Linked DNA regions of Macaca fascicularis. The protein of the gene in region 3 interacts with the protein of the main gene of each other region in a pairwise test. Links are inferred from orthologs where the notes say so. Each region holds a gene or a part of one and is shown on either strand. Other genes may lie near its edges. The genes, in order: ENTR1, ZBTB43 and AP1M1.

The links.
Region 1: the proteins of AP1M1 (region 3) and ENTR1 interact in binary tests that used the Homo sapiens proteins (3 or more experiments, as listed by UniProt). The two-hybrid records come from large-scale screens. The link is inferred for Macaca fascicularis from reciprocal best matches to the Homo sapiens genes AP1M1 and ENTR1.
Region 2: the proteins of AP1M1 (region 3) and ZBTB43 interact in binary tests that used the Homo sapiens proteins (3 or more experiments, as listed by UniProt). The two-hybrid records come from large-scale screens. The link is inferred for Macaca fascicularis from reciprocal best matches to the Homo sapiens genes AP1M1 and ZBTB43.

Annotation. Positions count from the first base shown.
Region 1 is NC_088389.1:2,956,779-2,960,472, forward strand, and holds the start of ENTR1 (endosome-associated-trafficking regulator 1), read left to right. Parts: upstream 1-758; 5' UTR 759-919; coding exon 920-989; intron 990-1,077; coding exon 1,078-1,227; intron 1,228-3,694. Other genes in the region: PMPCA (mitochondrial-processing peptidase subunit alpha), read right to left, coding at 589-659. UniProt on the Homo sapiens protein: Endosome-associated protein that plays a role in membrane receptor sorting, cytokinesis and ciliogenesis. Involved in the endosome-to-plasma membrane trafficking and recycling of SNX27-retromer-dependent cargo proteins, such as GLUT1.
Region 2 is NC_088389.1:17,206,193-17,209,896, reverse strand, and holds the start of ZBTB43 (zinc finger and BTB domain-containing protein 43), read left to right. Parts: upstream 1-870; 5' UTR 871-995; intron 996-3,704. UniProt on the Homo sapiens protein: May be involved in transcriptional regulation.
Region 3 is NC_088393.1:16,519,139-16,522,882, forward strand, and holds the start of AP1M1 (AP-1 complex subunit mu-1), read left to right. Parts: upstream 1-1,251; 5' UTR 1,252-1,348; coding exon 1,349-1,390; intron 1,391-3,744. UniProt on the Homo sapiens protein: Subunit of clathrin-associated adaptor protein complex 1 that plays a role in protein sorting in the trans-Golgi network (TGN) and endosomes.

The DNA.
Region 1 (3,694 bases), on a different chromosome or scaffold from region 3:
TCTGTATCCATCTCCTGGAGGCAGCACCTCCGCACCCCTGAAACAGCGCTCGTTGTGTGGGGAGGCGCGATGCCTGTGCTGTCGGAACAAAGTTCCAGCGTGGGGAAAGGCAGGCCCGGTCACTTGGGCGGGAGGGGCGGTGGGGACGGAAAGGGTTCTTAAACGTCAGAGATCAACGGACGCTCGAGCGCATCAACCGAGAGCCTGGACCCTCGTGTCAGAACCCTGCGGGTCTAACAGAGCTGGGGCCCCACCGGCTCAGCCTCCTGAGGGAGCACGCGGCAAAAGCACGGGGGCAAAAAACGCGGGGCAGCGATGAAGCATGGCCTCGGACAAGGCCCGTCGACCCGGGAGGTGAAGGGGGGGAGAGGACCCAGCAGCCGGGGAGAGAGACAGATAGGACTGCATCCCCGGGCTTGAGGCGCAAGGCAAGGCAGGGCCCCCGTCGCCTCGGGGACCACACCAGTGTCCCGAAGTGCGAGCCCGTCGAACGGGCGCCATGTCGCCTGTAGAAACCAAAGACGGAGCGTCCAGAAAGACTCAAGCCGCCCCGGTCCCAGGCTGAAGCCTGGTTCGCCTTTGGCTCACCTCAGCCGCGAGCCGCTCCAACAACCCGACCCCCGCAGCAACCGCGTAGCCACGAGCACCACAGCCGCCATCTTGCGTCTCCGCCCCTGCTTCTGTCGTCACTTCCGCTTCCGCCCGCGGATTCCCCGCCCCCTTGGGCGACAACCCGAGGCGTTCCGGCGCGCGCTTCCGGTGCTCGGAGCGGAAGCAGCGGCTAGAGGCTCGGAGGAGCGGGGACGGCCAAGCGGCAGGCGACGGGGGCGGGCGACACGGACCGCGGCCCGGGCGGAGCCGGGGCCATGAAGCCGCCGCTGCCGGGCTAGGCAGGTCCTGCCCCGCCTGGCCCGCGGCGATGTCGGGCTACCCGCGCCGCCCGGGCGCCACCCCGCTGTCCCGAGTCCGGAGCCTCGCCATTCCCGACGGTGAGCGGGGCAGGGGCCGAGTCCAGCGGTTCAGGTGGGCGGCGGCCGCCCCGGCGCGCAGTAAAGTCGCTGTTGTCGTTGCTTCCAGCTCCAGCGTTCTATGAGCGCCGGTCTTGTCTCCCCCAGCTAGACTGTGAGCGCCCCCATGGCAGGGACCTGGACTCCCCCTTCTTCGGCATTCGGCCGGCCTTTATGTGCTATGTGCCCAGCCCGGTGCTGGCTTCCGTGGGAGACACAGGTGAGAGACGAGGGCGCCGGCCCCGGGGACGCCTCCAGTTCCCGCGCCACCTGTGGCACCTCCGCTGCCGCAAGAGCTCGTCCATTGACCCAACAATGAGCACCGCGCTCACTGCGTGCCAGGCACTCGGAATTCAAAGGCGGAGTCCCCTGCTAGGAGCTCACAGTCTGGTTGTGGGGAGACCTCCCCCCAGACAGACAGTTCCAGTTCAGGATGGGTAGTGCCCAGGGAGCACAGGAGCCGGCCCGCTTTCCTCGTGGGGCTGAAGTGGGGGGGCCTTCACCCCAGTGGGCGGTGATTGGAAACGGAGCTGGAGCATTCCATCTGCCTCCACAGCCGGGCAGCGGCCAGATCTGGTTCATCCTCGTTCTACCCGAGCAGAAGTGCTGCTGGGTGCCCGGGGTGTGCGGGAGTGTTTGTGTGGCGCTGCCAGGGTCTGAGGACATTCGGGGGGTGTCACAAGACAAGAGGACACGCTCGCTCCGACTGGGCTTCAAAACCTACTGAGGAACCCCTTTCAGACCACAGATACCAGGGCCAGTCTGTGTGAGTCAGGCCATCTCCAGGGTCACAAGTCCGGGAGCTCGTGTTTTTTAAAGTTCTCTTGGCCCACCGGGCGCGGTGGCTCATGCCTGGAATCCCAGCACTTTGGGAGGCCGAGGCAGGTGGATCACGAGGTCAGGAGATTGAGACCATCCTGGCTAACATGGTGAAACCCTGTCTCTACTAAAAGATACAAAAAATTAGCCGGGCGTGGTGGTGGGCACCTGTATGTCCAGCTACTGGGGAGGCTGAGGCAGGAGAATGTCGTGAACCTGGGAGGCGGAGCTTGCAGTGAGCTGAGATTGCGCCACTGCACTCCAGCCTGGGCAACAGAGTGAGACTCCGTCTCAAAAAAAAAAAAAAAAAAGGTTCTCTAGAGGTTCTCTAGGCTGTGAGAACCACTGCAGTGGAGACTCCATGTGCAACAAAACCAAAACACAAATGTGAGGTCATAAAGACTTCCTGCCGTCATGGTGGGTGACATTGTTTCTTTGCAGATTTTGGCTATGAAAAGGGGAAATATTCTAAGCAGAGCCCGTCAGGAGGCCACGAGACACATTTTGGAGGTAGAGTAGTTCAGTCACCTTTTCTTCTTGTCTCCATCCAACACAGTGCCAGGCACATGTCTGGTGGCAGGACTGTCGATATGACGGGCTACATGGTGTATCTGGAGCCCAAAAGAGCAGGTGGGGGTGGGATTTCAAGGGTTCACTCCTACCCTAGAGTAGGAGCGAGGTGCAAGGGCAGAAGAACCTGAGTGAGGGAACGTCAGGGAGTGGGGAAGTCCCACCTCAGGGGCTGGGGCCACAGGAGCCGGCATTACATGGGGCTCGCAGCTGGGAGGGCCAAGCGTGGCTGCTTAAGTCCCCGGAGGGTGGGAAAGCGGTGAGAGGGAGAAGAGAAAGGTGGGCGTTAGCTAGGTTACCTAAGTAGGAAAGTCGGGAAGAGGGTCAAAGAGCGCCAGATCCCCAGTTTTGCAGCACCTGAGGAACTTGTCGTTGCTGCTGCTTTTTTTTTTTTTGAGACGGAGTCTCACTCTGTCGCCCAGGCTGCGATCTCAGCTCACGGCAAGCTCCGCCTGCTGGGTTCTTGCCATTCTCCTGCCTCAGCCTCCTGAGTAGCTGGGACTACAGGGGCCCGCCACCACGCCCGGCTAATTTTTTTGTATTTTTAGTAGAGATGGGTTGTCACCGTGTTAGCCGGGATGGTCTCAATCTCCTGACTTCGTGATCCGCCCGCCTCGGCCTCCCACAGTGCTGGGAGTACAGGCGTGAGCCACCGCGCCCGATCACCTGAGGAGCTTTGAGAGCTCCCAGCACAGGTTGACTTCACACCAGGGAACTGGGTGTGTGCAGTGGAGTGGCCTGGGTCGTTTTAAAGCTCCCCAGGGGAGTTTTAGTGGGCGGCACAGTGTGGGAGCAGGGGCCGAGGGGTGGAAGGAGAAGATTTCAAATGCAGACGCACGTCCGTGTCACTGCCCACTTTCAGCCACCTTCACGCTTTTTTTTGAGACGGAGTCTCGCTCTGTCGCCCAGGCGGGAGTGCAGTGGTGCGATCTCGGCTCACTGCAAGCTCCGCCTCCCGGGTTCACGCCATTCTCCTGCCTCAGCCTCCGGAGTAGCTGGGACTACAGGCGCCCGCCGCCACACCCGGCTAATTTTTTGCATTTTTAGTAGAGACGGGGTTTCACCGTGTTAGCCAGGATGGTCTCGATCTCCTGACCTCATGATTCACCTGCCTCGGCCTCCCAAAGTGCTGGGATTACAGGCGTGAGCCACCGCGCCCGGCCTCCTTCACGCTTCTTAGTGCCACCTGAGTCATGGTAGAATGACGAGCGTGGCTACCCGATCTCACGTGTGGCCATGCTCCGGAAAGACAGGTGAACAGGAAGGTTCCCTTTCAGCGCTCTTCAGTAGACTTTATG
Region 2 (3,704 bases), on a different chromosome or scaffold from region 3:
AAGAGTCCCACTGCTATAAGACCTATCTCTCTTCTACACTAACGTGGTGGGGCAAGGGGGAAGAAAGGGGTGAGAAGGATGGAGGGTTTGGGGAAGGAGTGGGAGAACTGGAAGCTAGAGAGATCGTTTCTGTCCCACCATCTGTGTGACCCCAGTGCCCAGCACAACGCAGCCCACGGAAAGGCACTGGTCCTTTCATTGAACGTTTACTGAACATCTACTACATGCCAAAAAGCTGGATGGGTGCTGTGGAGGCAGAAATGGATTTGGAGATAATCTCCGCCAGGCAAACTGAGGTCAAGGTTTTCGTTTGTTTGTTTAGAGAAGAGACGGAGAAGGTCAAGGTGTTTTTGTTTTGTTGTTGTTGTTAAGAGTCTTGCTCTGTGCCCAGGCAGGAGTGCAGTGGCATGATCTCGCCTCACTGCAACCTCTGCCTCCCGGGTTCAGACAATTCTCCTGTCTCAGCTTCCCAAATAGCTGGGACTACAGGCGCCAGTAACCACACTCAGCAATTTTTGCATGTTTTGTAGAGACAGGATTTCACCATGTTGGCCGGGATGGTTTCGAACTCCAGCCTCAAGCGATCTTCCCGCCTCGGCCTCCCAAAGTGCTGGGATTACAGGCGTGGGCTACCGCGCCTGGCCTATGTCAAGGTTTCAAGAAGGTTTAGAACTCGGTATCTGCTCCCCTATTTTCAACAGCTTAGTCAGTCCCTAAAATTGATTGACCCGCTCCAGACTGTACTGCGCAGGCGCCCGCTACCTATGCGCTCTCTCCGGACGCCCAGCTCAGACAGTGAATCCCGCATGCGCACTCCTCTTTCTCTCTGGCGCACCCCCGGAAGCACTGTCAATTTCGGGGGGCGGGACCGGGAAGCGTTTCCGGGGGCTGAGGCACAGGCTGAATCTGTTGCGGCAGCGAAGGCTAGAACAGGCCTGCGCCGGCGGCGGAGAGGATCCCTTGGACGGGGGATGTGAGCGCTGAGCCCTTGGCAGGTACTGAGTGGCCAGGACCACGGGCGGCAAGGCTAAGGGAGGAGAAGTTGGTGGGGGAGTTAAGGGCTCCTCTGCAGGCCCCGACGCACGCGCCGCTTGCCCCGCCAGGCCCATTCCGTGGACCGGCATGCTAAAGCCCCGCGCGGAAGGTTGGGGTCCCGGCGCCCCAGCTCCGAATCCCGCAGTCTCCTGCCCACACGGCGCGCAGACCGCGATACCAAGGCCTTTGGGGCAGCTTCTCGCCCAAGGTCACCCTCGCGGCAGCGGAGCTCCGCCGGCCACAGCGCTTAGAGATCCTGCCCCCGTCCGTCCGCTGGCCTTTCGGGGCGTAGGGTGGGCGCGGCTTGACGGCCTCGGGTTCGAGCCACCAATGCGTGAAGCCTGAAGAGCCGAGCTGGCAGAAAGACTGCGCCTGGACTTCTCTGATCTTCTTTTCCCTTCTGTTTCACCCCGGTTGCTGTCTCTGTCACCTGTTGTAACCTGTCCTTTTTGTCTTTCAGCTAGGTCCCTGTCAACCTGATATTTCTCTCCACTTTGTCTTTCTCGGGGTATATGGATCCTGTTTCATATCTGTCTCCACCTTGCTTCTGTGTCTGTTCACCCTGTCTCTGCCACTCAGCCCTTACTCTAATTCAGGGCCTGTCAGTCTAGCTTTTTGGCCATCTGTCTGTTTTTCTCTCTTTCTTCCAACTTTTTTTTTTCCTCTTGTTTCTGTTTCCTAGCTGAGTTTGTCTGGGTAGGGCAGGGCTGCCCAGACCTCTGAGCCATGGAAGGTGACTCATGACCCCGTGAAGCTCCCTGCACTGGTGACACTCTCAGTGATTCGACCGCAGTTTGGCCTCAGCTCTGACAGGTGCCGCCCAACATAAGTGTCAGAGTGCAGGAGAGTCTGTCAGGGAGACAGGAGGCCCATTTTGGGGCCAGAGCAGCTTGATGAGTCCTAGCCTTTTCTCGCCTGTGGTTTTTCAGGCCTGCACAGCTTCCCAAATCCCTTCACTCCATCCACTTAACCACGGGATGGTCTCCAGGGATCTCTGGAGCCTGCTCTTTGAGTTACAGCTGTTTAACTGGCCTGTCTACAGGCTAAAGAAGGATCAGACTGAGATCTTTGGGGCTACTGGAACAGTAGCAGAGTTTCTGGGAGAGCTGCATGCTTAGTTCAGAGACTGTGTCAGCATTTTCGGTTAAATTGTAAGAAACCTAATAATCGGGGATTTATTATTTGCTTTACAAAAGTACCACGGGAGAAATAAACCGTACACAAAAGGACAAATATTGTTTGAGAGCACTTAAATGAAGTACCTAGAATAAACCAATTAAGAGACGGAAAGTAGAATAGTTTACCAGGGGCTGGAGAGAGGAGTTAGTGCTTAATGGATACAGAACAGAGTTTTGGGGGATGATGAATAAAGTCTGAAAATGGGTTGTGATGATTGCACAATATTGTGAATGTACTTCACTGAATTGGACTCTTAAGAATGCTTAAAATTGTTAAGTCTTAAAGTTTTATGTATATTTTATACAATACAAAAAAAACAAAAACAGTATTCATTGGAGACTCCTGAAACCAATAAGCTCCTTTTTTTTTTTTTTTTTTTTGAGACGGAGTCTTGCTCTGTCACCCAGGCTGGAGTGCAGTGGCCGGATCTCAGCTCACTGCAAGCTCCGCCTCCCGGGTTTACACCATTCTCCTGCCTCAGCCTCCCGAGTAGCTGGGACTACAGGCGCCCACCACCTCGCCTGGCTAGTTTTTTGTATTTTTTAGTAGAGACGGGGTTTCACCGTGTTAGCCAGGATGGTCTCGATCTCCTGACCTCGTGATCCGCCCGTCTCGGCCTCCCAAAGTGCTGGGATTACAGGCTTGAGCCACCGCGCCCGGCCCAATAAGCTCCTTTTACGTGTAATTTTTCAAAATTCATTCTGTAGTTGTTAGGAACATTTAGTTGAACCTGGGTTTATTGATTCCTACTCTCTTTACAGCAGTGGGTACAGCTGAGGTTCTTAGAAAAGTTTAGTTAAATGGATATGGTTAAAATCTTCCTCAAGCTTTCTACTTACTTTCTGCCCTGGCTCTCTTCCCTCTGCCTTTCTTGGAATCAGTGCAAGAATCTGCTCATAAGTAGGATACTTGATAATTATACTCTTCACAGGAAGAAAACTCATAAGGTTGAAAAATAGCCCTTTTATTATAATGCAAAATTATGTGTTATTTCTTGAGTTTTCTTATGGGGGATGCCTTTGTGGGTTTTTTGTTTTTTAAAATCTCTTATTTAAGCTCTTTGCCTTTAAGGTAGTTTATTAAACTTTCTAATAAGATATCGCAACTGAATTACTAGTTTATTTCATTGAATGCTAGATGCTGTTGATTATTTCATGTACCACTAAGGAAGAGAGAAACCCTGCTAATTAAACTATGGCTTAATGCGCTCTTATCGTTTAGACTTTTTATTATTGAAAACACTTTTAAACTTAGACACTAAAAAATGGTATCAATGCCTATGCTAATGCATGTATATACAAAGGAAAAATAAGAATAAATTGGTTAAAGTATTCATTAAAGTTAACATTCCAGGTTCTACTCTTTATACTTTTCAGTTCAGAGTGTGTCCATATTTTTTCTAGCGTGTCATCCTTTGTGTCATCAAGAACATTGATGAGGACCTCAGCAGTTCGCTGTCATTGCCTCAGGCTGTGACAACTATTAAAACT
Region 3 (3,744 bases):
CTCTCGTCTTTTAATGTTTAACTTAACCCTTGTAATCCCAGCACTTTGGGAGGCCGAGGTGGGTGGATCACCTGAGGTCAGGAGTTTGAGACCAGCCTGGCCAACATAGTGAAACCCCGTCTCTACTAAAAAGACAAAAATTAGCCGGGCGTGGTGGCATGTGCCTATAATCACAACCACTTGGGAGGCTGAGAGGCAGGAGAATTGCTTGAACCCGCGAGGCAGAGGTTGCAGTGAGCCGAGATCGTGCCACTGCACTCCAGCCTGAGTGACAGAGTGAGACTCCATCTCAAAAAAAAAAAAAAAAAAAAGCAAAAAGCCTCTCTTGGCTGCTTGCTCTGTGCCTTGTGCAAGAATCCTTCCAGCCCAGGATCACTTAGTAGTCCTCAAACATTCTAGTTTGCTTTTCTAGAGGTTCGGTCACATTTCTATCCTAAGCAAAGACTATATAATTACCGAGTTGCAAAAATCATCTCTCCAAACGCCAAAACGGAGATAGGAGGGAAAATAAAAGATGTGAGAGGCAGGCATCCTGGGTAAACCACTCTGATATTGCAGGGTTGGGATCCCCAGGGTACTGTGATGGCTAACTGGAACAGAATGCAGGTATTTCTCCAAAGCCCAAGATTTCATAAAAGCAAATTAGATATGATTCAATGGATTAATCAAGGGCCACCAGTTGCATTACCGACTACTAACTTTGCAGAAATGAAACACGGTATGCTGGGTCAAGGTTCAGTGAGACTGGTTTTCTTAACATTCCAGGCAATAAACAGGCATGCTCATTCACTGATAAAAGTTGACAATGACAGGTGGTGACTGTTGATAAGGTCTGATTGCCATTCAGAAAGTTTGACCTCTTTCCAAGTAACCACGGCCTTACCTCTCCCTTTTGAGCTTATCACAATTGGTGACTGTACACTTGTTTCATAGACTTCCCCACTAGACTGTGAGCTCCATAGGGCTGGGTCCCAGGTCGGTTTCACCACCAGGCTCTCTCGCCTAACTCGGCCGACGGGAGGCGGTTTTCAGCTGCTCTGGCTCCATAGCTCAGCCTGGCAGCGGCCAGTGGGTGCCCTGATTTGGTCGGCCCCGCCTCCCAGGGCCTTACTTCCGGGAGGCTTCAGGCGGGAGCAAGAAACATGGTCACATACAACGTAATGCGCCTGCGCAGAGTCCGTCCTGCGCCTGCGCATTCCTGGCAGCTCCTCCCGGACCGGACATAACGGTCCCCGCGCGGCTCCCCGAACCGGAAGTGGAGGTGAGCTGTCGCGGGCGGCGCCCGGCCTTGCTCAACGCCTGGCAGTCCCCACCGTCGCTGCCGCTGCCGAGGCCTCCTGCAGCCACCATGTCCGCTAGCGCCGTCTACGTGCTGGACCTGAAGGGCAAGGTAATGAAGGCTCCCCACCCTCCCTGTTGCCAGGCAACCGGCGGGGGCCTCCGCCCGCGGGGACCCACCCTGTTGCTAGGTAACCGGCTTATGAGCCCCACCCTGGTGTGAGGCAAAGAGGCCGGTAGACCTCACCTGAGAGCCCCACCCTATTTCTGGGTAACCGGGCGGGGGTCGTAAGTGGGTAATCCACGCCCTGTTGCTAGGTAACGCGGTGGGCTGCAGCCACCGCGTTGCCAGGTAACCGACTGCACCGCCCTCTGCTCCCAGGCACCCGGGCCAGAGGCTCTGGGCTCGGTGGAGGACCCAGAAGCGGGGCCGCAGCCGGCCTTGGAGCCAGGCAGGGTGTCCAGGGGCTGCGCGACCCTTGGCCGGGGGTGGCGAGGCGTGGCGGGGACTGGGTGCTCTCCAGCCAGTCCCGCCCTCTCAGGGCGTTGCAGCTTCTGTTTATCGTGCACTTTCTCTCAGGAGGAATTTCTCCACGTTCATTGCGATAGTGAGTTACAAGGGTTAGGTGAGTGGATGGTGATCACGAGTACCGTTTTATAGAGGGAGAAACTGAGGCACGGAGAGGTGAAGTAACCTGACCAAGGTCACAATGGTCACAGAGAAGTAGGAAGTCTAGGAGTCCGATCCAGAAGCATTTGTTTATTTAGCTGATATCTGGGGAGCACCTACTAATGCCAGGCAGGATAGTAAGCCTGGGGTCGATTTGTGTTTAGCAAAAAACAATCCTGCTTTTTTTTTTTTCTTTTTGAGATAGTGTCATGCTCAGTCGTCCAGTCTGGAGTGCAGTGGTGCGATCTCCACTCACTGCAACCTCTGCCTCCTGGGTTCAAGCAATTCTCCTGCCTCAGCCTCCCAAGTAGCTGGCATTACAGGCACCTGCCACCACGCCCAGCTAAATTTTGTATTTTTAGTAGAGACAGGGTTTCACCATGTTGACCAGGCTGGTCTCGAACTCTTGACCTCAAGTGATCCAGCTGTCTCAGCCTCCCAAAGTGCTAGGATTACAGGCGTGAGTCACTGTGCCAGGGCTCAACAATCTGTGTTCTTATGACGTTCACAGGCTGATTGGGGAGATGGATACCGATCTCCAAAAACACAAATAAATGTCAGTTGCAGTGGGGGGGTGGGGCGGATGTGTTATACAGACGGTCAGCCTCAGCCAGAGGATGAGAGAGGGTTTTCCTAAGGAGGGGTGACAAATGGACCTGAGATACCAGGGAGCTGGACATAGACTAGAACCCGGGCATCTTCCCCAGAGGATCTGAGAAAACTGAAAGAAGGGATTGTCCCCGCCTTTTAGAAATGGTCCTCTGCCTTCTCCCAAGTCCATCCCAGGTACAAGGCAAGTGGCTGCCTGGCCTGTTGCATGTGGAAGCAACAAGCACCGGTCCAACAATGTTAAACCCAACATTGGTCAGTGAGAGAAACAAACGTGGGTGTCAGGTCCTAGGTGAGGCGGGCAGGGGTGAGCCCTAAAGCAGCTGAGAGTGAAGAGGTGAAGTGGCTGCCCCTTCCTGTCCCACCCCACCCCCACACTTTCCTGAAGTCCCTTGAGTGGGTGCCTGCCCTGGAAGCCAACCAAAGCCAATAACTGGTGAGATCCAGTGCTGGGTTTCCTTCCCCCGCCTTCTTGGAAGCAGGGAAGACACCCGTCTTAGATCACGCCAGGGGCTGGGTGTGTGCAGTGTACCCTGAGTCCTGGTGACATGAGTCTTGCTTCCGCACTGGCCACTGCCTCCCCAGAGGTGCCAGCGGGCTGCCTGTCTTGGCTGGCTTATTCCTTCAGCAAACATTTCATGAGCACCTAGGATGCACCCTGTCCTGTGCCAGGCATAGGGTGTCCATTGGCACCGTGGCTGTGGTGTTAGGGCTGAGCTCAAAACCCATCTCTGCTGCTCAGCTGTGTGACCTGGGACAGGCACCTTCTCTCTGAGCCTCGCTTTCCTCACTGGTCAAAAGAGGCTTTCATGGAGTTATTGTGCAGATTTGCCGAGCAGATGTGTGAGACAGGCTCAGCACCACCCATGGTCCATGTTAGCTTTCCCAGGCCTCTCGGTCTAGCAGGGGAGTCCTCTAGAAGCAGAGACATTACCACACAGTTGGATCCAGGCAGCCACAGGGGCAGGAACAAGGTCCCAAGTCCTGCAGTTGCTCAACCTCGTCTTTAGCCAGTGGAAGGTGGAGGTGGTTATGAAAGGCTCCCTGGAAGAGGGCAACGCCGGAAGTGGGTTTGGAAGGTGATCAGGCACGATCTGGTGGAAAAGAGGTATTGCAAGGGGCAGCCTGCTGGGGCCGCTGAGCCAGAAGTCCTGGCTAATGCTGAGATGGGAGAGAGGGACCAAGGG